Saccharomyces cerevisiae S288C: one gene and its partners. The gene in region 1 interacts genetically with each later gene. Each region holds a gene or a part of one and is shown on either strand. Other genes may lie near its edges.

What was found.
Region 2: mutations in SHH4 (region 1) and APS2 together harm fitness more than expected from each alone (negative genetic interaction), as found in Saccharomyces cerevisiae (one large-scale study listed by BioGRID).
Region 3: mutations in SHH4 (region 1) and DAL2 together harm fitness more than expected from each alone (negative genetic interaction), as found in Saccharomyces cerevisiae (one large-scale study listed by BioGRID).
Region 4: mutations in SHH4 (region 1) and PCL9 together harm fitness more than expected from each alone (negative genetic interaction), as found in Saccharomyces cerevisiae (one large-scale study listed by BioGRID).

The regions. Positions count from the first base shown.
Region 1 is NC_001144.5:487,024-495,147, forward strand, and holds SHH4 (protein SHH4), read left to right. Parts: upstream 1-6,859; coding exon 6,860-7,366; downstream 7,367-8,124. Other genes in the region: asparaginase ASP3-4, read right to left, coding at 1-266; YLR161W (uncharacterized protein), read left to right, coding at 1,974-2,318; YLR162W (uncharacterized protein), read left to right, coding at 2,550-2,906; RRT15 (Rrt15p), read left to right, coding at 3,383-3,571; MAS1 (mitochondrial processing peptidase), read right to left, coding at 4,843-6,231; pseudouridine synthase PUS5, read right to left, coding at 7,471-8,124. UniProt on the Saccharomyces cerevisiae protein: Homolog of SDH4, but seems not to be a stoichiometric subunit of either the succinate dehydrogenase (SDH) complex or the mitochondrial inner membrane translocase TIM22 complex.
Region 2 is NC_001142.9:544,232-552,238, reverse strand, and holds APS2 (Aps2p), read left to right. Parts: upstream 1-7,063; coding exon 7,064-7,507; downstream 7,508-8,007. Other genes in the region: MNN14 (Mnn14p), read right to left, coding at 1-1,728; CBF1 (Cbf1p), read right to left, coding at 2,425-3,480; protein kinase PTK2, read right to left, coding at 3,996-6,452; CDC8 (bifunctional thymidylate/uridylate kinase), read right to left, coding at 7,527-8,007. UniProt on the Saccharomyces cerevisiae protein: Component of the adaptor complexes which link clathrin to receptors in coated vesicles. Clathrin-associated protein complexes are believed to interact with the cytoplasmic tails of membrane proteins, leading to their selection and concentration.
Region 3 is NC_001141.2:406,705-415,403, reverse strand, and holds DAL2 (allantoicase), read right to left. Parts: upstream 4,598-8,699; coding exon 3,566-4,597; downstream 1-3,565. Other genes in the region: DAL3 (ureidoglycolate hydrolase), read left to right, coding at 1-374; malate synthase DAL7, read left to right, coding at 725-2,389; DCG1 (Dcg1p), read left to right, coding at 2,634-3,368; DAL4 (allantoin permease), read right to left, coding at 5,029-6,936; DAL1 (allantoinase), read left to right, coding at 7,762-8,699. UniProt on the Saccharomyces cerevisiae protein: Utilization of purines as secondary nitrogen sources, when primary sources are limiting.
Region 4 is NC_001136.10:134,622-143,125, reverse strand, and holds PCL9 (Pcl9p), read right to left. Parts: upstream 4,836-8,504; coding exon 3,921-4,835; downstream 1-3,920. Other genes in the region: GID12 (Gid12p), read right to left, coding at 1-1,029; YDL177C (uncharacterized protein), read left to right, coding at 1,405-1,917; DLD2 (D-lactate dehydrogenase), read right to left, coding at 2,012-3,604; AIT1 (Ait1p), read right to left, coding at 5,587-7,230; INH1 (ATPase inhibitor), read right to left, coding at 7,690-7,947; homocitrate synthase LYS20, read right to left, coding at 8,403-8,504. UniProt on the Saccharomyces cerevisiae protein: M/G1-specific cyclin partner of the cyclin-dependent kinase (CDK) PHO85. May have a role in bud site selection in G1 phase.

The DNA of each region.
Region 1 (8,124 bases):
GAACCAACGTTAGACACTTGAAGATAGTCCAGATTTGCCTTCTCAGCTAAAGATGGGACGGCTTCTATTAAATCATTTACGGTTAATCCCACGCTATAACCCGCCGTTGTTGCACTTGTCGAACCCTTGGAAGCGATAGTACCGCCGGTACCAAAAATTTTGATTGATGGCAAAGAAGAATTCTTCTCTTCACGAATTTTTAGTAGTGGAGCACCACTGGACATTGCGACAAAGAGAGAAAGTAAAAGGGTATTTAAAGATCTCATAGTTGGAGGTTGGTGAGTACCAGATTGCTTACAAAAGAATAGCGAGCCAACATTTGCTCTGCCTCAGGCCTCTTGGTGCTGCTTGAAGACTCATCTTATATGGCTTTTGTATGTCATGATTTGTTCTTGTACATTATGTGTTGATATTAAACAAATTGATTTTTTTTTTTTTGCGATAGCAAGCAGATAATGAAAGAGACAAGGACTTGGAACATCCGATAAGACTGCGCCGATATCGATCTTACAGTCCTTCCCTTGTGTCATGACTTTCGGAAAAGCATCCTCGTCGACTGGTAGTTTGCTGTCTGTCACGTGCTGAAGGGTCTGATACATTTTTTTAAAGATAAGAGACGGGGTTTACCCTTCGGAGGACTAAGCGAGATCTCCAAGTAAAGATCTCGCTTATCAAGAAAGCAGCCAAGTGTGGAACGTCCTTTTTTTTGGTTTCAAAAAGATATTCAACAGTTTACACTGCAGCTTTAATTGCCTCAAAAGGATATCATGAGGTGATCTAGGGTCAGAAGGGAAAGATTACAGCATCTTGAGTTGAATCACATCTGCAAAAGGTGGTATTATTGACGTTGCTCTTCCTTAATGGAAACTCATGGGGTTTGGAAAGGAGGTGCGGTAATCTATTTTTTTCGAACACAAAACCTAACCTTGAAAAGAAACTGTCCAATTTCATTGAACTTACCTCAGAACGGGCCGGAGTCTTTGCTTTCAGTCTAACATGGTCTAATTTCTTCGAAAAGCTTCATTTAATTGTTAGACTGTGGTTTTACAAGGAAAAAACCAGTGCTATACTGAAGCGATACCCAGAACTAATTACCTTGTGTGACGATTCGGCTCAGCGAAACGGACATGGTAAAATTGGGAATTTGAAAGCAGGCAGCAGCCTTGTACAGCGACATGACGATAGGTTTAGAATCCCCATCACGTACGAGTTGAAGAATTCTACGAAGGCTCTATGCGTTATTCCTCTATCGGTATAAAGTGTAGCGTTGTAGGGGGGATATTGGTGGTTTAGTTGAATTTGCGCAACGAAATTATAGAACTCATAAAAGTTCAATTCAATACTTGAAACCCTTAACGTTGGTTCGACCATCAATTGTTTGGACATAATAGTTTTATTCTGCGGCCGATTTCAAAATTTAGTAAATCAAATGTTGAAGCATCACCAGTAGGATGACCACTCCCATGACAAAACTCCGTCCCAAAGATAGCTTGATCATCCTAAGCGGGTCGCATTTTACTATCCCCAGTTCCGAAGAATAACAAGGCTCAATGCATATGCTGTTTATCGTGCTCACAAGGCGGTATGACGTTTTTAGCAATGTAATTATATTAAAAAGATCTTCAGTCACTATGAGTGGTTGATTGCCCCATAGAGAGCTATAAGCCGACGTGAAAGCTGCTGGTTCCAGCTTGGCTCATGTCGTCACCAGTCACTAGTCACTTGGTCGCATTCATTGCTACTCATCTGCGAGTGAGCATATTTGAGATCTGACTTGCCAAGGGATTAGAATCACGTAAGACTCTTGATCCTTAGAAGATATTTCTGACAAAGAACCACCTAAGCCATGCAAGTTTTTTTTTTCATTTGGTGGCGAAACAAAGGTGATGAAAGTTTCTTCTTGTACAAACGCCAAGCCCGATAGGTGAGACAATTCTTGAAGTAATGGACCTCTGAGTAAGCATATCAGTCGAATGAAGTTCCAATATGCGTTGGCCAAGGAACAGCTAGGCAGCAACTCGCGCAGTGGCGTCAAAAAACTAATAAGTAAACACCACTGGCTTCCGGAATACTATTTCTCTGATCTCTCATTTTCTGTTGTACAGCAGTGGGACAGTAGAGCCATTGAAAAAACTACAATCATATCTTGTATGCGGCCCGCAAACCAAGAGATTTATCCTTTGAGACATTGTGAGACCCTCCGTTCGCAACCGTGCTCTCTGTTTTCATCACTATATGCACGCTCTTTCCAAAGCTCCTGCACTTTGCACGTGGCGGAGCCATCGCCCGGCTTCCATATGTACGGCTGCCACACCTAACTATTTCGGTTGCGGCCATATCTACCAGAAAGCACCGTTTCCCGTCCGATCAACTGTAGTTAAGCTGGTAAGAGCCTGACCGAGTAGTGTAGTGGGTGACCATACGCGAAACTCAGGTGCTGCAATCTTTTTTTTTTTTCCGCGCGCAAGCACGTTACCCGGACCCCGTCTTAGCACACGCACACGCACACGCAGCGCTCACAGACCAGCGAAACAGACCTGAGAGCCACGATGCAGCACACGCTTACCCGGACCGCCTCTCTGCCAGAACGCTCGAGCAGCGCCCACAGCGCCGCTACTGCGTTACCCGCACTTCGCCGCCCGCCAGACAGCTGCGAGACTCTCGTCCCGCTACTGTGTATCTTTTGGTTCGTCTTCGTTAGTATGAGCCCGCTCCCGCCGGCTCGTGCCAACAAATCAGACAACAAAGGCTTAATCTCAGCAGATCGTAACAACAAGGCTACTCTACTGCTTACAATACCCCGTTGTACATCCAAGTCGTATACAAATGATTTATCCCCACTCAAAATGACATTGCTATCCGCCGGCAAGCACCCAAGGCCTTTCCGCCAAGAGCACCGTTGCTAGCCTGCTATGGTTCAGCGACGCCACAAGGACGCCTTATTCGTATCCATCTATATTGTGTGGAGCAAAGAAATCACCGCGTTCTAGCATGGATTCTGACTTAGAGGCGTTCAGCCATAATCCAGCGGATGGTAGCTTCGCGGCAATGCCTGATCAGACAGCCGCAAAAACCAATTATCCGAATGAACTGTTCCTCTCGTACTAAGTTCAATTACTATTGCGGTAACATTCATCAGTAGGGTAAAACTAACCTGTCTCACGACGGTCTAAACCCAGCTCACGTTCCCTATTAGTGGGTGAACAATCCAACGCTTACCGAATTCTGCTTCGGTATGATAGGAAGAGCCGACATCGAAGAATCAAAAAGCAATGTCGCTATGAACGCTTGACTGCCACAAGCCAGTTATCCCTGTGGTAACTTTTCTGGCACCTCTAGCCTCAAATTCCGAGGGACTAAAGGATCGATAGGCCACACTTTCATGGTTTGTATTCACACTGAAAATCAAAATCAAGGGGACTTTTACCCTTTTGTTCTACTGGAGATTTCTGTTCTCCATGAGTCCCCCTTAGGACATCTGCGTTATCGTTTAACAGATGTGCCGCCCCAGCCAAACTCTCCTGGCGAAATTTATTGTTTTTACATAAACTGTATTATGAACAGAAGGTAGTAGTGCATTAGAGGTATTACATATCACGTGATGTTTATTTCTTTTTACCTATATATGGATTGAATATTAGAGTTACCCTACGTTCAATTTCTAGATTCTATGGTGTTACCCCTGATGAGTTCTGCATCTGTCCTATCTACCTATTTTACCGTTTTGGACGAATATTAAAGGGCGGGTAACACAAATACTGTCTGCGTAATCAATCTTTTTAGGACTAATTAAGGGTAGTTCCATAGTTATTAGAATCGTATTTCTCGAATTGAATTTCCTTCCCTATGATAAACTTCTACACTGGAAGGTCATCATTATTTTTTGTTAAGTACTTTACGAATGAGAAGGTAGTTTATCAGCTTATATTTCAGGTCCGTTGACTTTTTCTGGCTACAGTTGTTTTCAACTGGTGCTGCTGCAGGATATAGGAAGTCGAAGATTTATTTTTTTGCACAGCTTAATGTTCCTGGCGAAAAAGCAGCGAAATCGAGAGGTATTTACTGCTCAGAGATATGAAGAGGTAGGTACATATTCATTGGCAGATATTCTACAATGCAATTATTATGACCAATCACACAGTATTGTGCTGACCTCCATTGAGCGATGACTAAAAAAACTTTTAGTAGCACGTTTATTATTGCTTTCCCTTGCTGCTATAAGGGAAAATTCAGTAAATAATACCGAAGATATAATGGTGTTTATCAGATCAGTGTGATGTGTTCAGCTAAATGGAAAGCTACAGATGCTATCTGATCGAGATATTGCAAGAAAAGGTCTCACAGTATTTTTTTCACGTGCTTTTTTTTCAAGGCAATGACCAATATGAAACGATCGATGAGCATAGTAAACAGTATTATCTGGATAATTCTGTATGCAATGGTAACGGATAACTTAAAATCTTTATGTTAAGTATATACAATTGCATCACTTTTTTTTTTTTGGCTTGTGGCTTATATTAACAAATTTATTGTGCATTTTTTGCAATCTGAAGGGCTGCTTTAATATTGAATACGGGAAGGGCCCTTTCACACCCCACTATAAGTGCAGTTTTAGGAAGAAAGTATTAATGTATCCTTCAAAAAAGAAAATACACGTGCTGTTAATATACCGACATCGTGTTTTGGGGAATGGGTACTAGAGCCGCCGATATCTATTCATATTTTTTATGTAGCAACATCTCATTTGAACAAGAATTTATTGACATAGAACTTTATACAAGTATGAAGAGAAATTAGAAATTAGCAGAGATGTGAAATGAACTTACTAATAAATCGGCGTGGTCATTGGTTCAGTTTTTCTTCGATATAGGATACATTAGGGACAGTGGATGTATTTCCTAGGGCAACCATTGAAACTGGTTTGTTTTGTAATCTGTAATTTGCCCACATAATAATATCATCCTTAGTGATTTTATCAACCTGCTCGAAAACTTCTTCTGGTGATAATCTTTTACCTGTGGTCACCACTTGTCTGCCTATATCTTCTACAATGGCTGTCGATCCATCCAACGATAGCAACAGAGCTGCCTTTAGCTGAGCTTTTGCCCTATTCACCTCTGCATCCGATATTTTGCCAGATTTTATTCTCTTCCACTCTTTCAGGATCTCATTAACAATTAACTGCACGTTATGCTCATTAGAATCAGTTACTATGTACATTCCCCACAGACCTGAATCAGCGTAAGAGGTGGAAAATGACATATAAGAATTAGCCAAAGAACCATTTTGACTTGCTGCAACAGCTAATGGAGAGGGGGAGTTTGTACCTGTGCCAATGGCTCTGTCCCAGTTACCAACAATCGCTTGTGTTGCCAGAGCTACAAAATAATCAGGTGCAGACCATGACACGCCTTCTAATGCGATAGCAATATGTGTTGTAGGTAACGTGTTTTCTTTGATAAACCTTTCACCTCTACAAAAAACTGGTAATGGGCCCCTTGGTGATCCCAACGGGACAGGCGATTCAGATTTGGGCACATGGCCAAAGTATTTTTGAGCATACTGTACCAATTTTTCATGATCAACAGCGCCCGCACCTGCCAATACCATTCTGTCGCCTTTATAGTTCTTGGTTATATAGTCTTTCAAATCAGTTCTTGTTATTGATTTTATGTTTTTTATAGGACCCAGAATGGTTCTTCCTAAAGGTTGGTCCTTATACGTAATCTCATGAAGATGGTCAAAAACAACTTCATCATACATCTTGTCCACCTCTTCACTTTCTCTGATGATGACATCCCTTTCTCTCTCAATAGCACTATTATCTAAAACTGACTTAGTCAAAATATCACTTAGAATATCAACAGCCTTTGGGATATCTTCTTGTAGGGACTTAGCATAATAAACTGTGTTTTCTCTTGATGTATATGCATTCAAATGAGATCCGATATTTTCAATTTCCAATTCAATTCCTTGTTGTGACCTATTCTGAGTACCCTTGAAAGCCAAGTGTTCTAGAAAATGCGCTGTACCATTGTTTTTTACGTTTTCTGCCCTAGAACCAGCATCGACAAATATTCCAACAGTAGCCGAAGATGTGTTGGGGATGTACTCTGTGGCAATTGTCAACCCATTAGGAAGTTTAGAGGTTCTGGTTCCTGGAATTTGTGAGGAAATTGTACTTAAAAGCCTCCGTGTATTACGGAACTTGGATGCTGTTCTTGAAAACATTGTATGATCACCTATCACTTTGCGCACTAGTTTGATGCCTGAGAGCAAGATATCATGATTTATCCATAGCGTTCAAATTCACTTCTTATTACTAAAGAGATGAGTCCAGCTCGATTACGAATATCACTAAATACGTGAAAATAATATTGGTCATCTAATCTGTGCACTGAACAGTAGTATCACCCATTGTTGGCTGAGAAATTAAGCTCAGCATTTTAGCTTTCCTCACTACGTGTTGAGGAATTTAATACGTAAATATAGTCTTAGTAAAGCCGTGCATTTTACTTCTTAACTCCTTTGGACGGGATCAAGTTTAAGGAGAATAAAACCCTGATTCGCACCTTCAACGCGGCTCTAACATGGTACTATCAGACTCTCACATCCAGATTGGAGTACCCTTATCCGAAGTAACGATTTTTTATTACGGTTTAAGATAATAAGGGACGCGTATGATAACTAAAAATCGTCAGTTGAAGGGCGCTGGCCATAGGTATCCCTTAATTTTGACGTCGAATTTCATAGAAGCAAACCTATATATTTTCAGTCCCCAGTGGACAGACCGTTTATCAGTTCTAATGAATCAGCAACGATTCTCAAAAAGGTTGCCCCAATTCTTAGGAAAGTAGGAATGTCATCGACTAAGTTTTTGAAACCACTCTGCAGAATAAGGGCTTTTCATACTTCAATTGCCAGATCCTTTACCATTCCTTTTCTGCCAAAGATTCCACAGAAACCTGGAGGTGTGAGTGGGACCGCAAATGATTCCTCTTATATGCCGCCCGAAAGCAGAGCTCAGGGTTCGTACCATTGGATTGTCGAGCGCGGACTGTCCTTAGCGGTTCTTCCGCTGATCGCAGTTCCCTTGGTCACTACAGGCCCTATTTCCACTTTTACCGACACATTTCTTTCCTTGGTCCTGCTAGGTCATTGTCATATCGGATTTCAGTCTTGCATTATAGACTATATTTCTGAAAGAGTCTATGGAAAGGTACATCATTACGCGATGTATTTATTGAGCTTGGGCTCCTTTTTATCGTTCGTCGGTATATATAAATTAGAGAGTCAAGAAGCTGGTCTTATTGCCTCTTTAAAATCATTATGGGATAACAAACCTGTGGAAAAAAAGAGGCAGTAATCATCAATTAATCAATATGGTTTGGTTAGTGGTGACTACCTTTTTTATTCTCGTTATATATGTGTATTAGAAATAATTTAATAACCGATTATTTATTGCTTATTTTACTGGTCCCAGTTTTCCAACAGGACTTCTTTTATGGGCAAAGTGAACTCACCCTCTTCATTGACGTATTTTCTTGACCAAAGTTGGCCAGTATTATTGTGTTCCATAGGTATCAAGTGCGTTTTAGTTTGCAGGCCAATTTTCGTTATTATGCACGCTGAATGCAACGCTATTTGGTCATTGAACAACTCTGGAAAATTGACAGTGCTGCCATGTCTCTTGTCGTTTAATATGGGCTGATTTAAAATTTGAGAGACGTGATTTCGAATCTGATGTTTTTTTCCTGTAACCAATTGTAAAACAATACAATTTTCGTCAACTTCTTTGAACTTAGTAATCTCCCTACCACCATGTGAAATCAAGAAATTATATTTAGGACCATATTTAATTTCATAGTTATTTGGTTTGTTGAAACGACCGGACGACTCGACAATAGCTACATACTTTCTTTGCAACTTATAACCGTTGTTGCCGCCCTTTTGTAAAAATCTAGAGAATTTTACACTTCCGTCTTTAGTCTTTGCAATCAGCATCCCCCCCGTAACACAATGGTCTAACCTATGTACAGTACGACATAATTCTACTTCTCTATGTGAATAATAAATAGCCTTGAATCTTTCTAGTAGTGGAGTAGGGTCAAGATTAGGATGTGT
Region 2 (8,007 bases), on another chromosome or scaffold:
AGCCGCATCGGAACTAACGCTAAGTCCCGTGATGTCAATGTATATACCTGAGTCAATATCGATGAAACGAGCATCAATATTGTTTTCGCCGTTCCCATGAACTCCTACCGTAATTGCGCTTCCTACATCTAGTAAGAATCTTCCATTACCTTCTCTTGGATCTTCTAATATTAGGGATTGGTTGAAATATTGACTCAAGTAATGTAAATGTTTAATGGGCATCTGTAAATCATGGTCGACATCCCAGGGAAACTTCAGACCATCATATAGATATCCATACAATGTACCATGCGATAGCCAGGAAATTAATCCGTTAGCCTTAACAAATTTCTGAAAATTTCTGATCAAAGAATTCAATCTTGCTTCAAACTCCTGAGGGTCATTTAGGAGATTATGTCCGATTGAGAAAAATCGCCTGTCTCTATGATGACCATCGGCAGTCGCGTCCGTAATATCAGAGGCCTCTGCGAAATACTTTTGCTGTAATGCAGGGGACGTATTTACGGACGTCTTTAAACTTCGTAAATAGTGGGTATCATGAGATGGTAGGCCTTCAGACCTGAGCCTGGTCTCTAATTCAATGATCCTCTCTTTTGCATTGAATTGGAAATCAGATGGTGATAGTTCTAGATACTCTCCAGCGTATATTGTTTTATCCAACGCTTCAACGTCAAGTTTCCTTTTTTTAGTGGATCCATGATGTAAAAATTTTTCAAACATGGAAGTGTGGTTGAAAATGAGGTCGCCATTTACCATTTCATTTCTGTGCCTCTTAATGTAATTCTGTAGTAGATTTGTCTGTACTATATTTGATTTGGAAGAGTCTGTTGTCTTCAAATTGATTCTGTATGCATCTTTATCGCTGTCCAGTACGGTTAATGACAGTGGAGTAAAGTTAGAATATAACAAGTGGTTTTTGGCTTGTAAGTCATACACTTCTGGCCTCAACCTTTCAGAAATTTCGCTTATGATAAAAGGCAATTCGAAGGGAGTACCATTGGAATACGCGTCATTATTCATGCAGTGATCATGTATGGCTTGCTGCACAGAATTAGAATCGACAACCTTTCTTACCCTGTTGTACCAGAGCGATTCGTCATATTTATTCCTATTTGTGACGAATAAAGGCTCTTGGACTTCACTCTCTACCATTTCTAGCACATTTTTATCAAAGGCACCCTCGCAAACGAACTGGCAAGATATGTTCGTGTGTCTCAGTGCAATGAGTTTGTTTGTAGAGTCAAAATTAGCCCAATCGTACCACGAAAATGCGTATTCATTGGAATCTGATTCTAATAAGTGATCTAGTAAAACTGACCATACCAGCCTTGGGTCGTTATCGTAATATCTCAATTCATCTACCGAATCAAGAACTTGCCCTTTTTCAGGACCCATTTTCACAGTGAGAAGATTATTCTTCAAGGTGTACGTGTCGATCCATTTGCCTGAAGTATCAAAATTCATTTTTTCGTAAAGTTTGGCTACGTTGTCTTTTGATCTCAGATCGAAAGAAGCATGGTTGTTGTTTCTGTTAGTGTAAGCAAGCGGTTTGAAAAAGAGCGCCATGAATGACTTCCAGTTACCGTCAATAATCGACGAGCGACCGCCCAATACAAATATGGTAATGAATAGTAACTGGATAGTTAGAAGAGTAATGATTATCTTTTTAAAGTGAAGCCGCAGAGATCTCAAAACGTACATGGAGAACCTGCGCAGTGATAACATCATTGGAATTGTATCTTGCTTCGCTTTCTTTTCTCTTTCTCTCTTTCTTTCTCTTCCTCTCGTTTAGACAATCTCAATGATTCTAATTCATAAAAATAAACGTTGGTTGTTTTCCAGAAAGTAAATAACAGTTGTTGTTAACTATATAAGATACAAATAGCGGAATGCCAGACTAAAGACAAGTGCACTCTTACTTGATCTTCGTCCAATGTTTCTTCTTAAATAATCAAGCAAAGCCCCAAAGTAGAAATAGGCCCGTGATTGTCGCGGACCTTCAAGGATGTGACGTTTTTGCCTGTTTTTTTCAGGTAATCCTCTCCACTACTATCTTTTTTCTTTTCTGCGACCCAAAAAAAAAAAAAGGAAGGGAAAACTAAGATTTTTTGATAAAAGGCGGGAAAACGGAGGTTGTGCGTATTTCTCTTGGCGATTTTTCCATTGAACGTCAAAAAATTCTTGGCAAAACTTTTTTACTAAGCCATTTAGGGATGAAAAACAATAACGTACAAAGACATATTTGAAAGTCCGTCCCGTCCTCTTTTACTTGCTGAGTTTGAGGCTGAGTGATTCTCTAATACCATCCGGGCGGTTTCAAATATGCCGATGGAATATTGATAAAAACTTAACAGAGGTGCTATGGGGCAGAGACGCAGATACATAGGGAGACTCGAAATACATTTAGCTATCTATTTTTAACTCTCAAGCCTCATGTGGATTATCGCTCCTAGTGCTTTTTCTTTCGTTCTCTTGTTTCTTGTGAGTGTGCATATCCTCGTATTCTATTCCCTCCTTCCTTAAAACGCGTTTCATGTACTCGATTTCTTTGTAAGCATTTCCCAGTTCTTCCTGCAGTTTCTCATTTGCACTGGCTAATTGCGATGCGTTTTGCTCGCTAAGCAATTTTTGTAACGTCCACTTTTCGATGTTTGCTTCATCGGTTTCTTTCAATTTTTGAATGTATTCAGCGGCACACGCCAATATTGCTGCCTTACTTGATTCTCTCACGGGCAGGAGGTCGCTTAAAACGTTGATTGCAGTGTTGATGTTTTCGCGGCGACGCCTTTCGACTTCTTTATGGGAGTCTTTTCTTTGCTTTTTCCACTCGTCTGTTGTGGCCAAAGTAGTAGGTTTTCTTCCACGACGACCCGGCTGCATGCTTATATCCTTTTTGAGATCAATGTCAGCGTCATCATTGTCTTCATCATCCTGTTGGTGTTCTGGCCCACGATCGTGTTCTGCCAATGGTATGAGCATGTCGTTTTTAGATTGCTGTGTAGATTCCATTGGTGAAGACGTCATTCCCTCCAGGGAGGTGTTTGGCTTGACTCCTTCATTTGATGGGGTTATGGCTCTTTCCCCATTAAGGGAATCCTTGTGCTCACCATTCGCGTTCGTTTGATTAGATGTGTGGGCATCAGAACTATCTTCCTGGCCCTGGATTAAGTCTGTATAATTGACGGTAGCGGCAACAGCAGCCTCAGCCACTGACGCATCTTCGTCATCACTTCCTTTCTCATCTTTGTTAGACGTCAGTCCGCTTTCATACTGACTTTGAGTCCCTTTTAGCGTAGCCCCTTCGCTCAACAGAGCAGAGTCAATATTTCCGTCATTGCTCTCTTGTGACAACAAGCCTTGATCTCTTTGCTTTTTCCTGGCCTCGCTGTAGTTCTGCTCCTCGTTATAGCCTCTTTTTCTTGCCGAATGGATTTCCTCATCCTCAGTAGAAAGCTTATTATTATTTGCCAGAGAGTTCATCGTTAATAAAAGTGTAGAAAACCGTATTATATTTTAAGCACTTGATGTTGGTACTTGTAGCAGAAATGAAAATGACCGCCAACTAAAATGATTAATTAACAAAGTGTTTATCTTTAAGGTATAATGGTTTACATTCTACATTAAATAAAAAAACGTGATAAGCACGTGGATAATTGTTGTTTGCCCAATACTTTTCTCGTCCGATTTTATTTTTTTTTTGACCTTGGTGGGTGAGACATGGTGGTCCCGAAGGATCCGAGAGGAATGAGAAAAACCGATCACGTACATCGATGTACGGGAAAAATAAATAATAAAATGTTTGTTTATTGTTTGAAGTAAAATATATAAGTACATATGTGGATTTATATGTGTGTGCTTTATTTCATTGTTTGATTTATCTTCCGTTCTTTATCTTTTCCCGGTGGGATATTTTATATAAAAAGCTTATAAGGAAGGGTATGAAAGAATATGACGATACTAAAGCATAAAAGAGGGAATTAAAGAAGTCCTAACGTCTATCTTGAGATAAAGGCGCTCACGGATGACATGTTTGTAACGCTGTTGGTAATGTCCAAGTGGTGGTGAATTACCTTCTTCTTTTTCGAGGATGACACGCTTGGACTTCCGAGGCTTCTCAGTGAATTGCTTGATGACGAAACATTCGGTGCGCTAAAGTTCTTTGTAGAAGCCGGTGTTTCCGATTTGAGTGATAGGTCGCTCATACGCTTATCTAATTGAGTGCCAGCCTTTGCAGGGAGCGGAGTGGGGCCATTATGTGTTGGTGTAGTAGGGGTGGAGTTTAGCATCGACTTTAATTCCTTCATTGTGGAATCATCTTCGCTTAAGTTGTCCTCTACTTTTGTGGAGGTTGGTGTTGGTTTTTCCAATATGCTGTCCACATTAGTCGTGGTAGCCTCTTCAATGACTTTGTCCTTGTCGCCGTTCTTGACCTCATCTTTCTTCAAATTTTCCTTTTTATCTTGCTGCTTAGGTTTGGTGCTTTCATTCCCCCCTTCATCCCCAACATCGTGTGTTTTGGTCTTTGCGCTATCTTTTACCTTGGATTTTTGTTTCAAGGAAGGAGATTCTGCAATTTCCAACATCGATCTTGGTTTAGAAGTGAGCGTTTCCTTTTTTAGGAATGGATTAGACGTGTGAATGACCTCTTGATCATGGGGTGCATCTAATGAATTTTCACTAAAATCATTGGTAGAAGTACTTTTCCTTAATTCAGGAACCCTTACTAAGTCATCATCATTTGGCTCGACACATGTTTCAATTTGTTGGAAAAACGGATCATTAAATAAATCATCCATTGTATATCTAGTTGCAGGGTTCGGGTCAGCCAATCTCCATGCGATACGCGTGGCATCAGTATTCTTGAAATTTCTTGCTAAAGAGTATTCGGAACCAGGACCCGGCTTGTGGCAGCCCTTGTCCCTGAAATGTGGGTTTTGATGATTGATGAAGTTGTCATATGACACTTCAAATTCCCTGAATCTCGCATCAGTGTTACAAGAATCGATGAAGGGGATGATATTGTTAATCATGGTAATCAGCATGATTCCGAGGGCATAGGAATCCATGGCCAACGGATTATAGGGTTTTTGGAACTTTTCGGGGTAGTGCTTCTTGGCATCGAAGTACATTACCTCTGGCGGAGTGTATGGTGGAGAGCCAATCATACCTTGGCATGTTTTCACTGGACTAGTGTAGTCATGAGGTATCACATGGTACCAATCAGAAATACCGAAATCCGTCAATTTGCATATACCTTCTTTAGAAATTAAAACATTTTCGGGCTTCAAATCACGGTGAGCAATACCATTGTCATGACAAAACTTAATACCTTGGGCCACTTGTTTGAAAAGACAATATTTTTCATTGAAGGGAACGTTCTTCCAGCCTGTTCTTTCCATCAGTTGGAAGAGGTCCTTAACACCTAGTTCCATAATAAACCCCCAACCACGAGTTGTATATGTGGTCGTGGGAACTTTTAGAAGATAAAAAGTATTCGTGATGTGAACGTTATGACTTAAATGCTTAGCTATGATGAATTCTTTGGAGCATCTCTTGTAAAACTTCTCGGGTGACTCGTGGTATATCATATTCAGTTTTTTTAGAGCGTAAACATCCTTTTGCCTGTAACTTGATTTAACCTTTCTAACTTCACTAGACCCACCCGAACCAATAGGTTTATTGTCCGTATCAAATACGAAATTATCCGTTAAATGGACACTATATTGTTTCATATCTTCGGGCAAAAAATCGTTCGGATTAGCAATTGGAAGGGGCAACATCCGTATCTTGCTGTTACCATCATGCATGTAAAAACTCAAATCGTTCTCCTTATTCGTATTCAGAGTGTCTGCAAATGCAGTATCTGGCCTAGCATGGTTTGGGCTTATGCCGTATGGATTATAAACTATATTCTCGTTGGGAAAATGGTGACTAGCCATGCTATTAGACCTTTGCGGTAAGCCCGCGTGATGAGTATTTCTTTCTTTGTTTCTCGCCCTTTCTTTTTCCTTTTCTCTATCCAAAACTGCTCTATCCCTATCTCTTGTCGAGGCAATGCCAGTACCTGTGCCCAGAATATCAGAGGGAGAGTTCAAGTAAGGGTTATTATTATGTTTAATTAAGTCCTGCAATGCGACAGAGGACTTGTGTGACGACACAGACCCATTTGAAAATCCTACAGAAGCATTGTTTTTTCTTCTATGTAAAGAAGCAGATCTCTGCCGTGCCCCAGCAGAAGACGAAGGTGAATTACCACCGCTACCACTGCCACTAATGGACGGAGACGTTGGCCTTTTTCTTAAACTTCTCCCATTGCCCAATTGTTCGGCACTAAGCAGTAACGAAGAGTTATCCGTGTGACTGCTGGAATTAAACAGGCGTTTTCCCAATAGTTTCAAAGTACTAACAGAGGGACTTTTATCTACCTCTTTGTCCTTACCGTTTCCCGCCATTATCTTATTCAATCGGTTAACCTGTAAAAAACTGCTACGGCTTACACAACTTTACTTTCCTGGTGTGCGTGCGATATCGTGGTTTGGATAAGGGTAGCGACGGGATGTGACAATACCTTTCTTTAACACTATATATAAACCTGCTTTTACCGTCAACCGGATATTATTTGGTTCTACCTCCCACCTGCAAGGGGTCGTGCCAATGACGAAAAGACAGCCACCCATGCACCGCACTCGCACGTGGCAACTATTTGCGCCTTTGCCCAAGAGGTTATGCTTGTAGATGGGGTGACCGTACTAAAGCGTTCATGTTGTATATACCATATATGTAGGCTTGAATGGCTATAGGACGCGGGTATGTTTATCATGCTGCCGGCACGTAGTACTTGCAGCTCCGGCATTTCTAAACTGTACCTGTAGTGGAAGGGTCTTTCCAATAGTTTTGCAAGACATATCATTTTGCACGCATAGAACAGTTTCGGATACTTTTGATACAAACGGGGAGGAATGGTTTATTCAGTAGGTACATTAAGAACGTTTGCCTTGAGATAGCGTTTGGTGCTGTTATTTTGTGAAGAACGGAGACTTGTTTGCTGTAAGGGATAAAAAAAATGGCAGTACAGTTTATACTGTGCTTTAATAAGCAGGGTGTGGTGCGGTTGGTGAGATGGTTCGATGTACACAGTTCGGATCCTCAGCGTAGCCAGGATGCCATTGCGCAGATTTATAGACTCATATCTTCCAGAGATCATAAGCATCAGAGTAACTTCGTAGAGTTTTCCGATTCGACGAAACTCATATACAGGAGGTATGCGGGTCTGTATTTTGTCATGGGTGTGGACTTACTTGACGATGAACCCATATATTTGTGCCACATCCATCTGTTTGTGGAGGTGCTAGATGCATTTTTCGGCAATGTCTGTGAACTGGATATCGTATTCAACTTTTACAAAGTCTATATGATAATGGACGAGATGTTTATTGGAGGGGAAATACAAGAAATTTCAAAGGATATGCTGTTAGAAAGACTAAGTATTTTAGATAGACTAGACTAGGATATATGTACAGATCCTCCTAGAAGAACGAAAATTTATCATGATCAATATGCGTACTCAAAACAGGCTCAACGATTTGCCAAATAAGCGCTTCAACTTCCTGAATGCCCTTATTAGTAACGTCTACAATCGTGATTGACTCATCGCCTTTCCTTATCTCTTTATCCAATAGCTTCATAAAAGTTTGCTTCACTTTTTCTTGAAACTTAACAGTTTCGTATCTTTCGTCACCAAATCCAGATTTTTCGGCGTTATTGTCGACATCTTGAGTGCTTAAAAATAATGTCAAATCCGGTTTCAGCAACCCTACATCGGGTTGCAAGCACCAATCCAAATCCATTCCATTTGTCCCCTTAGCGGCAGAATATGCCACTCCAGAATAAACATATCTGTCCATGACAATGTTCTTGCCTTCTAGTAAATCTTTCTTTATCTTGTCAACTATTTCCCATCTATTTGCCGAAAACAAGAGGTGAATTGCCTGATCTGATAATTGGAAA
Region 3 (8,699 bases), on another chromosome or scaffold:
ACCTGAATAGAGTATTCACTCAAGGCTCCAATCAGGCGATTTCTCATTCTATCAAAGTCCTCGAAAAGCATCCGTGTAGTACGCAGACGTTTGTGCCTATGGGGAGAACGTCAGCGGAAGTAGCATACTTGGTAGTAGTCGCTAAAGAAATTGGAAATAAGCCAGACTTGTCTACGTTGAGGGCTTTTACATGTTTGGGTAATCAGGCCGTTACCTATGGCTTAGGTACCTGGCATGCGCCCATGATAGTACTTGGCAAGGAAGAACATTTGGATTTTTCAGTCTTAATCTACGAAAGTCTGGACCCTGACAGGCCCGAGAAGGACTGTGTGGAAGAACACTACAGCGATGGCGACGTTTGTATTATCATCTAATTCTGCGACTGTGGGCGAAGTAAATATGTAAATGTTCATGTATTAGTAATTTCATAGGTTTACGATTATCGACATAAAATCTCCGCTGAAAGTTGCGGTGCGATAGAATACCGCGGATTTTGGAAAATTGCGTTTGCTTTTCTTATCACATAAATTGAATTTCATAAGTTTTGGCTTATCTTGGATAAGGTACATCGTGAAAGTATCACAAAGATTGGATAGTTTCGTCAATTGGTGAAGCAATAAGTATAAAATGGGGACATTTACGCATGTAGTCTTAATTCTTCACTTTCTGTGCAGTTGATATCACTTAGAGTATGTGTCATAGGCACGGTAAAGAGCACTGAACAATGGTGAAGATAAGCTTGGACAACACTGCTCTATACGCAGACATCGACACGACTCCTCAATTTGAACCTTCCAAAACTACTGTAGCTGATATTTTAACAAAAGATGCCTTAGAGTTCATTGTTTTGCTGCATAGAACTTTCAATTCAACACGGAAACAGCTTTTAGCCAACAGAAGCAATTTACAATCAAAGTTAGACTCTGGTGAATACCGATTTGATTTCTTGCCGGAAACCGAACAAATCAGGAACGATCCTACATGGCAAGGTGCTATCCCAGCCCCTGGTTTGATCAACAGATCCAGCGAGATTACTGGGCCACCATTGAGAAATATGTTAGTCAACGCTTTGAATGCTGAAGTAACGACATATATGACTGATTTCGAGGACTCTTCATCTCCAACTTGGGAGAACATGATTTACGGACAAGTTAATCTTTATGATGCCATTAGAAATCAAATCGATTTCAAGACACCAAGAAAGGAGTACAGGTTGAAGGATGACATTTCAAGACTGCCCACTTTAATTGTCAGACCTCGTGGCTGGCACATGGTGGAGAAGCACCTTTACATAGATGATGAACCGATTAGTGCTTCCATCTTCGATTTTGGTTTATATTTTTACCATAACGCTAAAGAGTTAGTTAAAATTGGTAAAGGACCTTATTTTTACTTACCAAAGATGGAGCACCATATGGAGGTAAAACTATGGAATGACATATTCTGTGTTGCACAAGATTTTATTGGAATGCCCCGCGGTACCATTAGGGCCACTGTTCTGATTGAAACTTTGCCAGCGGCCTTCCAAATGGAGGAGATTATCTATCAAATAAGAGAACATTCAAGCGGTTTGAACTGTGGTCGTTGGGACTACATATTTTCGACCATTAAAAAACTGAGAAACTTGCCTGAACACGTTTTGCCAAATAGGGATCTAGTGACTATGACTTCACCTTTTATGGATGCTTATGTGAAAAGATTGATCAATACATGTCACCGTAGAGGGGTCCATGCGATGGGTGGTATGGCTGCCCAAATCCCCATAAAAGATGATCCAAAGGCTAATGAAGCTGCAATGAACAAAGTTCGTAATGACAAAATTAGAGAAATGAAGAATGGGCATGATGGGTCATGGGTAGCACACCCAGCATTGGCACCGATTTGTAATGAAGTTTTCAGTAACATGGGTACAGCAAATCAAATATATTTTGTCCCGGATGTACATGTTACATCATCTGATTTATTGAATACGAAGATTCAAGATGCTCAAGTCACTACTGAGGGAATCAGAGTAAACTTGGATATTGGCCTACAATATATGGAGGCTTGGTTAAGGGGATCTGGTTGTGTCCCAATTAATCATTTGATGGAAGATGCCGCTACTGCGGAAGTATCACGTTGTCAATTGTACCAGTGGGTTAAACATGGTGTTGTCTTAAGTGATACCGGTGACAAAGTAACTCCAGAATTGACCGCTAAGATATTAAATGAAGAGACTGCAAAATTGGCTTCAGCAAGTCCGCTGGGTGAAAAGAACAAGTTTGCCTTGGCAGCCAAGTATTTTTTGCCTGAAGTCACTGGTAAAATCTTTAGCGACTTCTTGACCACTTTATTGTATGATGAAATTATTAAGCCAAGTGCCAAACCAGTTGACTTAAGTAAATTATAGAATGTATACGTACATAACCTGACGAATATTCGAAGAATTTTAGGCGCTGTTTTAACGCATAATCCAATCAAATTTGAGCTGATAAGGCCTGATAAGGTATGACAAATTGAACTCATATTTTTTCTCCATGCCAGATCATATTTAAGCCTTTGAAGCGAGAATATGTAAGGAAACTGAATTACTAATTCTTACCTCAGGAAAATCAAAAGAACAAAGAAAAACTAGCTAAGCAAATTATCGAACGATGGAAACAAGAATACTTGTTGTGAATCCTAATAGTTCGAAGTCAATGACGGTGTCCTTGCGGGAAACCATTGAAAAGACTTTTTCAATGGAATCATGTAAAATCAGTTATTTCACAGGGCCAGACACGTCGCCACCACAAATTGATGGGCAGGAAACAAGTATTAAAAGTATGGAGGCCTGTCTTCCCCTCTTAATTGATGACCAGGAGTCGGTATATTACTTTCAGAAATTCAACGGGATATTAATTGCCTGTTTTTCAGATCATCCTTTGGTAGCAAAGATAAAGGATAGAGCTGCTAAAGAAAAAGCAGATGTTTCTATTGTTGGGTTATTAGATAGTAGTATTAATTATTGCAATTTGGTTGGAAAGAAGTTCTCTATTATTACTTCAAATAAAGAATGGATTCCAATATTGAATAACTCTGTGGAATCGAAATTCTTGACAGGGAATACAGTTAACAAAAATTTATGGAAAGGTACGGTATCTACTGATTTACAGGTCCTCGACCTACATAGTCCAGAAAATTTCCAGCAGATAGCAGAAATTATATATCGCGAAAATATTAAAAAGCTTGATTCAGACATTGTAATATTAGGTTGTGCAGGATTCTCGGGTTTGCAAAATAAACTGGCGAAAACATTCCAAAGGGATGGCACGCTGTTTCTGGACACGATTGAGATCGGTTTACAGATTCTAATCACTATGATAAGATTTGTCAACTCACAAAAATAAATAGAAATATGATTGTTTTTTATAGAGTGTAAATTTTAATGTTTTGTCGTGAAGAAGAAGAAGTAAATAAAGTAGCGTGGGGATAGCGAAATGAAAACATTCAATTATCAAAACAAAAACTTTTAACTACATTTATACCTTTACTTTTAAAGTGCCAAGAGTGCATTGGTTTAAAATATACAGTAGTTAAGTATTTATCAGTACCCCCAAACTCTTATTCTTTTCACTCCTCCATCTGGAATAATCGTTAATTTGACATGGGAGACTCTTATACTCTTACGTATTTCATACACATGTTCTTTGTCAGGCCCCGTCTTTGACTTACCAACTAGCTCTACCCATGTTCCTTCACCAGTGTTCTCACTTGATTCTGACTCCTTCAAGCAACCTTCCACGGTAATGAACTGAGGGAAGTTCCCCCTGAAGTGTGCCGTATCAACAATAATCTTCTCAATGAAAGAAGACTCCCTGCCCAGTTGAATTACCGCCCAATCAGTATGACCTGGTTGTCTCGATCTTTTGGTTTCCCAGCCGTCCGACATATCATGACCTCGACCTGGCAGTAGCAAATTATCAACTGAACCGAAGTGTTGGTCAGAATACTTTAAAGCGACAGCACCATTGCAAACATAAGCCAAGTCAATTATATGATCCTTCGTTTTGAGTTCTGGAGGAACAACTCTTCCGTATAATCTAAATCTGGCGATTCCTCCATCGGGGTACATCTTCAGCTTGATGTGAGTAAACCTTTCTTTAGTAAGGCCGTTGCCTCTAACGAAAAGATGCCTTTGCGAAGGACCACACTCAAATTTCTCAACAATCTCAACCCAACGCGAGTCATCTTCCACTATATTACCTTCTTCGCCCTCGTCATAGAGCGCCTCTATTGATACAAATGGTGCATGATTACCATTGAAAAACGCAGTGTCAATTTCACCACCAATAATATGGGCAGCAGCGACTCCCATCTTGATGATAACCCAATCGTATTCCATCTCATTATGTCTTCGTGTTTCCCAGCCGTCGTACCATGCGCCTGAATGAACAAATCTGGTAGGATCCCTTATAGGAGCAGTTGGCTGAATTAAATTTTCAGCAGAAGCAAACCATTCATCTGAAAAAGAAACCACTTGACCACCTAACTTAGATCCTATAACATCTACTGCTTTGTTTTTTGAAATGATTATTGACTTAAATTCTGCCTCATCTGCCAAACTAAAAAACTTCATTTTTCTAAAGAAGAGACCGATTAGATACAATTAATTGTTTGATCGGCTTCATAATTTCCCCATATCATAGCAAAATGCACTTCCATTCCTTTATAGCATTTGATCTCAGAAAATGTGTCTATAATTTAGACTTTTCTTCCAGCTGAATTTCATTGTGGTTCCTGTGTTTTTATCTTATCGCTAATTCGAGTCAAAGATAAGATGTCGGAATTATCCGGAGTTCTGATAGGCTCAAACAAGCGCAAGTTTGGTAGGTTGATGACGGTTTAGCTAATCATCAGTACATTATTCAGACGGGAATGCATGTATGAAGCTGATAAATTTGATTAAGAAAGGTACATAAAAATACACAGAACGAATATTAAGGTGTTTTGAAGAAATTATCAATTCTCCTGATCACTACTGGTAAGAGAATAAATTGGGATTTTTATTTAGTAAACTATCTTTTCCTCGGTGCCATCATAGATACTGACTGTGTCATCGCAGAGGTCATCCCTACGTAACTCATTCTTCCAATCTTGCTCGAAGTCCTCAACATAAGCCCATCTTTGGAACCATCCTTTCTCTGTCAGAAAATTGGTTACGGGAGTACCAGGGACAGGAAAAAAGTAACATAATATGAGGTATATCACCGCACTAATAAAGAAACCTACCGGATAACCTAAATAGTATAACCTCATTGCACCCTCTGAAACCGTAATTTTTGGAGCTCCAACATCACCTATAAAACCTGGTAAATTTGGAGCGATACCGCAAATATACGCAACAAAGGCCCTCCAATTGGCACCAAATTTGTTTCCAAACATGTAAAAGGAACCCTTCTGTGCCAGGAATAAATGTGTTAATTTCACATATCCTCTTCTTACTACGAAATAATCCGCGCAAATGACACCAGCAATACTGGAAAGGAAAATTGCATAAGCACCCAAAGCGCTGGTGAACTTACTTGAACTGGCCATTAAGTTCCATGGACAGATACATAGAGCCATTGCCACACAGAATAAAGAACCTCTTCTAATATTAATATATCTTGGAAACAAAGCCGTCATATCAGCACCACATGCCAGAGAGTTGGCAGAAATGTTTGTACCCAGTTGAGCTAAGGCAAATACAAAAGAAATCAAGAACACACCAGCCCTAGTACCTCTGGTGTAAGTGGTCTCCAAAAATTGACCAAGTACATCCAGTGGTGACCAATAGTTAACCCCATATAAGTGATAACCGGCCGCAGTAACAATGATACCGATCAAACATGTTATGGCGAAGAACAATGGGATGGCAACCAATTGTGGCCACAAAGACGCTTGAGGATTTTTGGCAAATCTACCGAAGTCAGGGGCGTTGATAATCAAAGCGGCAAAGTTAGCAACACAGGCCATTAGGGATCTAACGAATATCCATGAAAATTCGGAACCATGAGGTGAATAATCATTCAGCGTCCCCAACTCAATTTTACCGTGCGATTTCTTCAAAGCCCAGATTAAAAATCCAAAGGCTGCGAAGGGGATCAAAGCTGCTTTTACTGTGAATAAATGCCTGATTTTATGAGGAGCCACTAGGACAAATGGTATACTGACCACCCAAAATATAAAGAAACACATGAATTCAAAAGTAGTGCTATTTGGAGAACCAAAATGGTTTGGGATTCTATCTTCCAGATTCTTGCCAAAAATAGATTTTAGCATCAGTGCCACGGGCGTTGCACCTAACCAGGCTTGCACGGCATACCATACTATAGCCATCACGACACGATTTATAATCGGCCACATAGAAAAGAATATACCAAATGAGGCCCTAACAGTAATAGGGAAAGATAAGTGATATGCGGAACCAAATCTCGAGTTCAATACTACGAAGATACCTGCAAAAGTGTAGCCGATCCAAACTGTAAGCCAACATTGCCACCAATTCAGACCTAGTTGTAGACCTGTACCAGCTATTTGCCATGTGTTAATATTGAAACAGTCTGCCAGCCAGAAATATAAGTAATTGAACCAGGACCAACACCTTCTTTCTTCTTCAACCGGTTTCAAGTCTCTGTTATACAAGAACGACTCTTTCAACGAAACATTCAAAGTTGTCTTGTCTAACACAATGAAATCGTAGTATATTTTACTCCAGATGGACTTTGTTTCGGGCAAGGGCACGACTTCGCTCTCCTCTATTGAGGAGTTGTCCACATACACATTAGTGTTGATATTCTTGTTCTTGTTGAACTTCCCATTTTCCACATCTATAATATCATCTTCATTGTTTGTATATGACACAATAGATGTGGAGGGTTGGACACCTTTCCTCGAAGGATTACTGAAAATAGCACTTAGAGCGTCGTTAGCCATTCTCGTCTTTGTTGATGTTTTATATCACAAGATGTAGATGAATATAAAAGGTCAAAAAGGGAAACTAAAGTAACATATATATTCAAACTACTCATCAAGCTAATTATTTATACTTTTTTTTTCTTCCCCATGTTTTCCTAGCCTTCTATGCTCAACACTAGCAGATCAAGTTTCTCGATTACAAACTTGTTTCTCTGATACTCTACCTCTCTATGCTAATCATTGGACACAATTTTTAAAGGAACCTTATCGACGTGACAGCAAAGCGGTCAATCCATCCTATTATTCCTTCTCATCTCCCTGAAAAGGAAAACATCCTGGATCTTCAATTACACATACACATTCCTTATCGCAACTAGATTAGAGGCGCTATTTTGTATGCGACAGCGAGTAAGGATGGCCGGAAAAAAAGCGGGCGCATTTTCCCTGGCAGAAATTTTTCATTGATAAGAAAGTAATACCGATAAGAGATACCCTCGAGCCACATTAGACCCGAGAATTGCAGGAAAGAAAGGAACTGCATGTTTCGATTCTATTGTCCCTTACTGCGGATCATCGAATAGGCGCAAATGTGTTGATGGTGGACTGATGGAACTTTATCAGGAGAAGTGGTTCAAAATTGCGGTGCTTAATTATCTATATAGAGGAGGCATATCTCATCGAAGGGGACAATGATGAGGTAACGCAAAAGTGATGAGTTTCTACTGGTATCTTGTAATTGAAGGTACCCCTTTTTCTTTTAGCTATCTTTAATTAGGTTAGAAAAGTGTATATTTCGCAAAAACGTATAGGCAAAAAAAAAGTGAAATACTGCGAAGAACAAAGATGCCTATCAATGCCATCACTTCCGACCATGTCATTATCAATGGTGCAAATAAACCTGCGACTATTGTGTATTCGACCGAATCAGGCACGATTCTGGATGTTTTAGAAGGCTCCGTGGTTATGGAGAAAACTGAGATAACCAAATATGAAATACATACGCTGGAGAACGTATCTCCATGTACAATTCTGCCTGGACTTGTGGACTCTCATGTTCACTTGAACGAGCCCGGTAGGACTAGCTGGGAAGGATTCGAAACTGGAACTCAAGCTGCTATTAGTGGCGGGGTCACAACGGTGGTTGATATGCCGCTAAATGCTATTCCTCCCACAACAAATGTGGAGAATTTCCGAATTAAATTGGAAGCTGCTGAGGGCCAAATGTGGTGCGATGTTGGGTTTTGGGGTGGACTGGTACCACACAACTTGCCAGACTTAATTCCGCTTGTCAAAGCTGGCGTTCGCGGGTTCAAAGGATTCTTGCTTGATTCTGGTGTGGAAGAATTCCCTCCAATTGGCAAAGAATATATAGAAGAAGCCTTGAAGGTCTTAGCCGAGGAGGATACCATGATGATGTTTCATGCTGAGTTGCCCAAGGCACATGAGGACCAACAGCAACCCGAGCAAAGCCATCGTGAATATTCTTCGTTTTTGTCCTCGAGGCCGGATTCTTTCGAAATAGACGCCATCAATTTGATTCTCGAATGCTTGAGAGCCAGAAATGGACCAGTTCCTCCTGTACATATAGTTCATCTGGCATCAATGAAAGCAATTCCCTTGATCAGAAAGGCACGTGCGTCAGGGCTACCAGTCACAACAGAGACTTGTTTCCACTATTTGTGTATTGCTGCAGAGCAGATCCCAGACGGAGCCACCTACTTTAAATGTTGTCCACCCATCCGCTCTGAGTCTAATCGCCAAGGCCTATGGGACGCTTTGCG
Region 4 (8,504 bases), on another chromosome or scaffold:
AATATCATCCCAAATGGTTGAATTTATAATATCCGTATCGAATGTAAACTTGTTACTAATCCAGCTGAACAAAGAACCAAATCCATTTTGTTGCGCTACGTTGTCCCACGAAAGTATCTCACCGCATGTATCTCCCTGTATACTGTTCTTTAGGCTGATAAAGGTGCTTAAAAATGTAACATAAGTCAATGGTAAAATTATTTTCCTTATAAATAGTGGTGATCGTGGCGATACTGTCATGAAACAAAACCGGTCTAATGGATTTATATGGAATGTGGAAATACCTCGTTCTATATGTAAATACATCGAAGGCCTATATATGGGCAGGCCTTGATACATATTGCAAAACGAAGATACCACGGGTGACGATCTTAAATGGGATGGTTCTATAGGCAAAAGGAAGTAGCAGATATGCTTAGAGCATGACCTTCCAGTGTACCGCGTACTACCTTCAAATAATTTTTCTTCTTCTGAAGAATGTGTTGTATTATTATCGTGATGTACTTTGAAAAAGCAATCTGGAAACATGGGGTTGTACATGTTCTTATACTGAATGTAATCAGTGGGAAGGTTCATTACAAAGACATATATTCGACCGGAGCACATACAACAATATAATAAACCTTGACTATATTCAAGACCAGCGATCATATAGTCACTAAAAAAATTGGATTCGAAATCTTCCGGAGTACATCTAAGGATATAAGAGGGCGCTAATCGCAGGCCATTTTTTATCTTGTATTGATAGTTGCTTATGATTTCAATGAATCCGTTGGATTTAGCCAGCACCATGTAATCACATGAGTCCAAAATATGCGTTGCGTCTGGAGATATTGACGTGTCTCTACCATTAGGCCTTAAATAACAAAACGCTTGTATATTTGCATTCACATCTACTTTTGTACAACCTCTTTCTGATGGGACCAGTGCTAATCGATCGTTTTTAAATTCAAATAACCTATAACCAGACGGTTTACCCTTAGTATTGCAGGGAGTAGAAACAGCAAATTGAATCCTGCCAGTAGCCATCGATAACAAAATGTTCAGATTATGTGGAAAGACGCTTTCTGCGTGTATTTAACAACTCAAAGTAAAACCTATCTTAACCTGGTTTTGTTCTATTAGATGCCATTCAACTATGGGGAAGGTATATTTGGATGTTTGTTAGCAATTTTCAGGAAGGCAAGTACTTAATACCGATCAGCTTACTATTGTTTTTGACCTTAGAGCTCTTTTCAACAAAGCTTCGCATTGTGAAAAGCAGACCCAAAACGGCAACTGAGAAAATACGGCACTGTGGAAATAAGTCATGCATCAATCATCAGCTGTAAAAAACCTTTAGAAAAGACATTATACAGATTCTTAGATAGGTATTGATGTTTGGTATTACTATTTTTTGGAGAAATGAGTAAGAATGTTGGTAAGCTAGTGAAAATATGGAATGAATCAGAAGTTTTAGTTGATAGAAAATCGAAATTTCAAGCAAGATGTTGCCCATTACAAAATCAAAAGGATATACCCTCCATACTCCAAGAACTAACGCAAAACAACAAAAGCGTCTCCAAGGCATCCCACATGCACATGTATGCCTGGAGAACGGCCGAGGTATCAAATAATTTGCACTTACAACAAGAGCAGAAAAAGAAGGGCAATAAAGCAAATAAGAGTAATAATAGTCATGTTAACAAGTCAAGGAACATAACGGTGCAGCCAAAGAACATTGAGCAAGGATGTGCTGACTGTGGCGAAGCTGGTGCTGGACAGCGTTTATTGACCTTACTTGAAAGAGCAAACATATTCAACGTCTTGGTAATAGTGACCAGATGGTATGGTGGCACGCCTTTGGGCTCATCAAGATTCAGACACATTTCAACATGTGCAGTGGAAACCTTAAAGAAGGGTGGATTTCTTCCTTAAATATCACCCTTACCATATAATATACACAATTGTAGAATATAATATTGATAAATATATACATATGTAGATAACTATAAAACTTGGCATTTTATTTTCAAATGTATTTGTAAGGGTTTAAAATTCCATTAGGATCATAATGAACCTTCAAATCCTTCATCATCTTGACCTCTTCCGGGCTCTTAGAATAGCCAATGTAATTTTTCTTTTGGAAACCTAGCCCATGTTCGGCACTAACGGAACCATGTTTTGAGGAAACAAACTCGTAGACAAATGGTTCCAAAGTCTTTTCAATGTTCTTGTTGTACTCTCTAACTGCAACATTTAAGTGTAGATTACCATCACCCACGTGACCGTATCCAATGGCGCCCACCACTGGTTTGGGCGAATCACCCACTAATTCAGCTTCAGAAAGTCTTGCATTAGTGGCTTCAACCAAAGAATATAGGTCCTTTAGTGGTAAAGAAACATCGTATTTGTAAACACCACCATTAGCTTGACTTGCCTCTGGAATCATTTCTCTCCACTTCCACAAGTTTTGGAGTTCGGTTTCATCTTGTGCCACTACACCATCCGTTACTATGCCCTCTTCCATGACGTTTTCTAAAAATGTTTCAAGTTTGGAATCATCGTGATCTTTGTTTGACCCTGACGTTTCGATAAGAATATAAAATGGATGCTCATCCTCCAAAGGGAAGGCAGCATCCTTCAATTGGCTCTTGGCCAATACTTGAGATTTAGCATCCATAAATTCAAAAGCGGATAAAATCTCAGATAATTCTTGCCTGGCTCTGACGAAGACTTTTTGAACGTCTTCAAAACTTTCAACAGACAAGTAAGATACATTAAACGCTTTTGGCTTAGGAACAGTCAAGATTGAAACACCAGTGATGATACCGATAGTACCTTCTGAGCCAATGAACAGCTGTTTCAGATCATAACCGGTGTTGTCTTTTCTCATGGAATGCATGCTATTAACAATTTGACCATTGGGCATTACCACCTCTAAGCCTAAAACGCTTCCATGTAGTGAGCCATAACGCAATAACCTTAGTCCTCCAGCGTTGGTTGCAACCACGCCACCAACATGGCAGGAACCTTTAGCTCCCAGATCCAACGGAAACATATAATTTTGTTCCATTACGTAATTGTTAGCATTTTCCAAGATTACACCAGCATCACACTTCAAGATACCTGATACAGGGTCAAAATCTCTTATTTTGTTTAAATTTGCTAAAGATAGAATTAATTCATCAAAAATGGGCACAGAACCACCTACCAACCCCGTGTTACCGCCTTGTGGGACAACGGCAATTTTTTCATCATTACAATAATTTAAGATTAAAGAAACTTTTTCCACTGACTTAGGTCTCAATACTAACTTGGACTGTCCTTTGTACTTTCTCATCCAATCTTCATTATAAAATGAAAGATCCTCTGATTCGCTGGCTCTTAATATTTCTTGTTCCGATAAAATAGATTTAAAATAATTTAGATCATCGGACGTTAATTTTTTGAATCTAGGGTCTCGATGCACGTCTGGATAGTTTTCGCTAGTCAGTCTGGTTTGTATCTTGGTCGAATAATAGTTAACTCTTCTATAGTATCCTAAAAGAGCTGATGATTTCATATATCTGCCAGCAAATTTGAAATTGCTGCCAGTACTTCTCACCAAAATGTTTCTTAGCATCTTGTTATATGCCACTTGTAGTGCTGGATTAATGTCTGTAAAATAAAGAGAAGAAGTTGTCAATGCATTTATTACCACTTTTTCAGAGTCAGATAGATTTTGAATTATATAACCTGTCAAAATGAAAAAAACTCGGCCGATATTCCTCGAGAAACAAGACGAATGCCAAGAGTATTCATTATTAGATATTTGTTTATGTAGTATGGTGTTTTTTTAGTAGCCTAGAAACGATGGTTATTCATATTGTACAAAGTTAAGACAACTAAAGAACGGAAAAGAATATTTATAGAGCTTGTAAAAGGCGAGTAACTTAGAATTATTGCTTGAAAAACGATGACCAGCCCCTCCTTGTAAAATTTAACCGTTGGTGAATTGTGGGCTTATGCGACATTACTGGTGAACTTCCCATTGTTACATCAATATGGTTTACTGAGTGTATGTTTTCCTCTGCCCTGAAATTATTACAGATATCGTTATTATTCCTTAACGGCACATGATTTTTTTTGTTGAAGTTGTCAGATTCCACCAACGGTAGGGACGGTTGGTATTTTGCCAGTAGAGAAGACCTTGAGTCTGTTGTCGAAACTGTTGCCATGGATGTCAGTGAAGGAACCGATATAGCAGAAGAAGTTCTAGAATGCGAAACCGGTCTTCTATGATTTATATATTCTTTCAGTTGGCCGGGACTTGGTGCATTGAACAACAGCATTTCTTGTCTCCTTTGTAAAAATAGTTGTTCCTTGATAGGCCCGAGGAAGTAAGAAAGAGAATCAATCAAATCCGGTGTAGTTATCCTCACATCCCAATTTAAATATTCTAATAGTTCTCGTTCGATGGTATTCACCTCACGTATTCTGAGTAAACCTTCTGTGTACGTGGTCCAGTGTTTGTTCCAGGGAGAAGAATCGTTCAGAGTTTTGGCAGCTAATATCAAGCATCCGAGAAATATCCGATGTCTTGTGGTGTTAATACCGTACACATTTTTTGGTATTACGCTTTTCAGTTTGTTTAAATAAACTGATGTGGCCATTAAAGTTGGTGTTTGAACATTTGACTGAATTACCACGTTTTTAATGAAGATAGATAAGTCTGGTGGGCGACATCCTTGGATTGGATTATTATTTTCCCTGATTTTAATTATGGAAGCAGTAGAAGTGGCTAAGAACTGAATCATTTCTTGCGAAACAGGTTTTTTGTTGAATTGCAAAAGAGCATCGTAGTCAGAAATCATCTCTTTGTGCGTATTTCTTCAGAATTAATAATGCTGTTACCGAAACAAGTTTTCTTGTCCTTTCTTTGCGTATATCCACTTAAATATATGTTATTAGAGATCTATGAATGTCGATGCACTCTTCTACTGACCGCAAGCTGCCCAAATGCTTAAATACAGAAGCAAAGAGACACATATTTACCACGTTGCATGAATGTCCAAACTCACTGCACCGTTAAACAGAATTATAATAAGCAAGGCTTGACTACTTGTCCCTTGTAAGATTATCTACTTGAGCTGGTTTTTTTTTAGTGCAGCAATAAAAAAAAAAATTAGTGACGCTGGTTTCCGCGCAGCGCTAATTTAAGAATTTTCAATATTGCCAACAAATTTTATCTTGGCAGTTATGAATGGAGGCCAAATTGTAGCATACAGTGTGAGCTCCATATTGCCAACAAATTTTATCTTGGCAGTTATGAATGGAGGCCAAATTGTAGCATACAGTGTGAGCTCCATATTGAATGATGCATGATCTATTTTCTTTTGGACAAATTTCTACCTTGCATAACCTTTGATTGATGAACCACTGATGTAGTTAAACTTTTAAAGTAGGGTTAAAATGTCCCTTTAATATATTTTTATAATTACTTACAGATTGTTGTTCTTATGTAAATTTTATTATTAAGCTCCACCTCCCCTAAAGTAAAATGGATAACATAAAGATTTTTCAAGATATGAACACCCTAATATGTGCACGGTCGTTACTTATATGCTATATATAAACTGTTGAAAGTATTCCCGTTACAAAAACAAGAAGACTCCAAGAAACCATTACTCCAAGTACAAAAGAATCATTTCTTGCCAAAGCCCTCCAATTTTTGACTAGCTTCTTGCAGAATCTTAGTAAAGCGGAGTCGTTGGTCATATCATCATCATCCCCATTTAAACTACCATAATATAACGTCGTATTACCTAACAACTGGCCTGAATTCATCCCGAAGTGACCCGGGCTGCTATTTATTACATCAGGACTATCCATCGAAATGTAATTAGCACTCAGTGGATGTTGGTACTCTTGATTTGTAGCTACTCTCTTACTGATAGTATTTTCGTCGTCGTCCTCAAACTCCCCCTGTGAATTATTAAACCAATCGTCTAGCTCTCTTCTTAAATATATCGAAGTGTTGATGAGGAAGTTTAGAGATATGAAAGGAATTATTACGCATAAGATGAAATTTGAAATGGTTCTTGAGCCGAAGTAGTTCACCACGGGAGTAAATAATCCTTCATGGCCGCGAACATAGACGAAATACATCGACAGAATCAATGATTCCCCAATTGTCAACATGATATTACTACCAACTACCAATATCATTAACAATAAACCGGTGACCAACTGGTATGCCGTGCTAAATGCAATAAATCTCTTTATCGGTGTGAAGCTTTTAGTAGTATTTTGTGTATTTTCATTAGGAACTGCCCATGTATAACCAAAAGATTTCTTCAAAATGGGCTGTTCTTCGTCTATGGGGAAACTCAAATCACCCGTATCTAGAGTTGTCAACTTTAATGAATTGTCGATGGGGTTCATCATGATAATTGTATCGTCCTGCGAATTATCTGGTACATGCAGCTGCTTCTTATTTTCATGAGGTTGCTGTCGTATGCTGCCATAAGTTGATGACGATGAACGTAGAGGTTTGATTGGATGGTACTCAGACGAGTATACGTTATTCGATATGGAAGATGAGTCATTTCTTACTTCAATACATTTGGACAACGTAATATCACTTCTGTCTACGACGTTGGGGCGATATTCTGTACTACAACCGCAGTCATCGTTATGGCTCATATCATTATTGTTACAGTAAGTGTTGGCGCTTTCCTGGTGTGTGAAGCCACTATTAATGTTTGGATCGGCGATTTCTTGGTAGTTAAACAAATTCCCTATTATGCATATGGTGAATTCACCCAGGGCCCATGATATACCAAAGATATAGGCTTGTCTTGGAATGATGTGCCAAGAACATTCCTTATGCTTGATCGTACCGCCTTCGTGATCTTGCACCTGAGGGTACGCTAAACCAATCAGTATCAAAAGCATAAAGACGTCGTTGATAGGAAAATCCACTATCAGGTTCAATATTAAAAACCTTTGATTTATATTGAATAGAAAGGTCTTCAGGAAATAATAAAGAAATGGTGAAAAAAGCCCCAAAAGAAAGGTCCTGAAATAGTCCTGCGAATTTGGTTTGAACATCAATGGATCATCATACTGGTGTAGCAGTAATTCGGACGACGCATAGAATAGTGAAAACAGTGAAATACTAAACAGCGCAGAAAGTATCACTATGTGAGGCCTTGTGGAGCAGAAAATAGGCATAAAATATGATGCTGCATGATTTAATCGGACCATATTCAGATATATTTCACAGGTATCTTTCTTTTGTGTAAAGAATACGAGGTATGATTTAAAACGTCAAAGAATGGAAGAGAAATTTTGAATGCGAAGAGATGCTAAGTATATTCTTGGTGTTAGGCTAAGCTTGTTGAAACAAAAAAGAAGGAATTTTGAAATTTCGTATCTTAAGTATGGACTATTGACGTTATTTGGAACTTTTCCATGTTCCACACTGTTCCTATCTTTCTATGCCTTTCCGCATTGGGACGAACTTTGCGCGAAGTGGAAATAATGAGTGACATTAGTCAGACAGACAAGAGGAAAATTCAAACCAGAGGAAAACTAGAATGATAGTTATCGAAAATGCAAAAGCTCAGTGTGATGTATTATTATATAGTTTTTCTGCTGTTTGACTATAAAAGAGTAAGAATATTCTAAAAAAAAAAAAAAAAAAGCTTCTGCGGAAACGCATGATTATTTGGTCATCGAGTCAATTTTATTTTCCAAAGAATCAATCTTCTTTCGTTGTTTTTCCAGTTGTTCTTTCAAATGGCGTAGTTGCTCCTTCTCACGCTGCCTAACGAAGAAGTCTTCCGTGGCCCTTTCCCTTTTAACAAACGAATCCTCTGAGCCTGACCCTCTTGGGGTGCCGGTAGAACCTTCAGAGTAGAACCTTGCGGCCACACCGCGCTGTAATTGCAATGAGCGTGCTAATGCTGAACGTGGTAACATATTCTATTGTGGAACTGTATAAAAGTGTGCTGTAGTAATGCGTGTAAAATGCACTCCTTTGGGATAGCAAAAACAAATTCAACCACGAACAAATTCAAAGAAAGTTTTAAACAAGATACAACAAGTCAAGTTATGAACCCCTCCTTCTCTAACGATTGTTAACGCCTTTTCTAGCCCCAAAACCTCGTTGCAGTGGAAAACGATGGGTGTCAGCAACTAGACAGTTGATTGGCATAATTGTGAATATCTGGATATTTGGTACCCGCAGCAGCCTCCCCTTATTCTGCCGCGAATGCGCGCGTCTGATTGGCCCGGCATCACGGGAGAGTAAATCTTCTTCTTTTAATGCGTATCGGACAAAGTAGATGGGAAAAAACATCATTTAGATATGTAGATGTAGATGCTATATATCGTATGTAATAAGTGAAAGAACATAATGTAATGGTTTGGGAACGTTAGGCGGATGGCTTAGTCCGCTTGGCGGCGGGGATGGTGGCCAGTTCCGGTACATCGCTGTCATTCTTCTTGTTCTTTTTTGCAGATAGTACTTGAGGAGT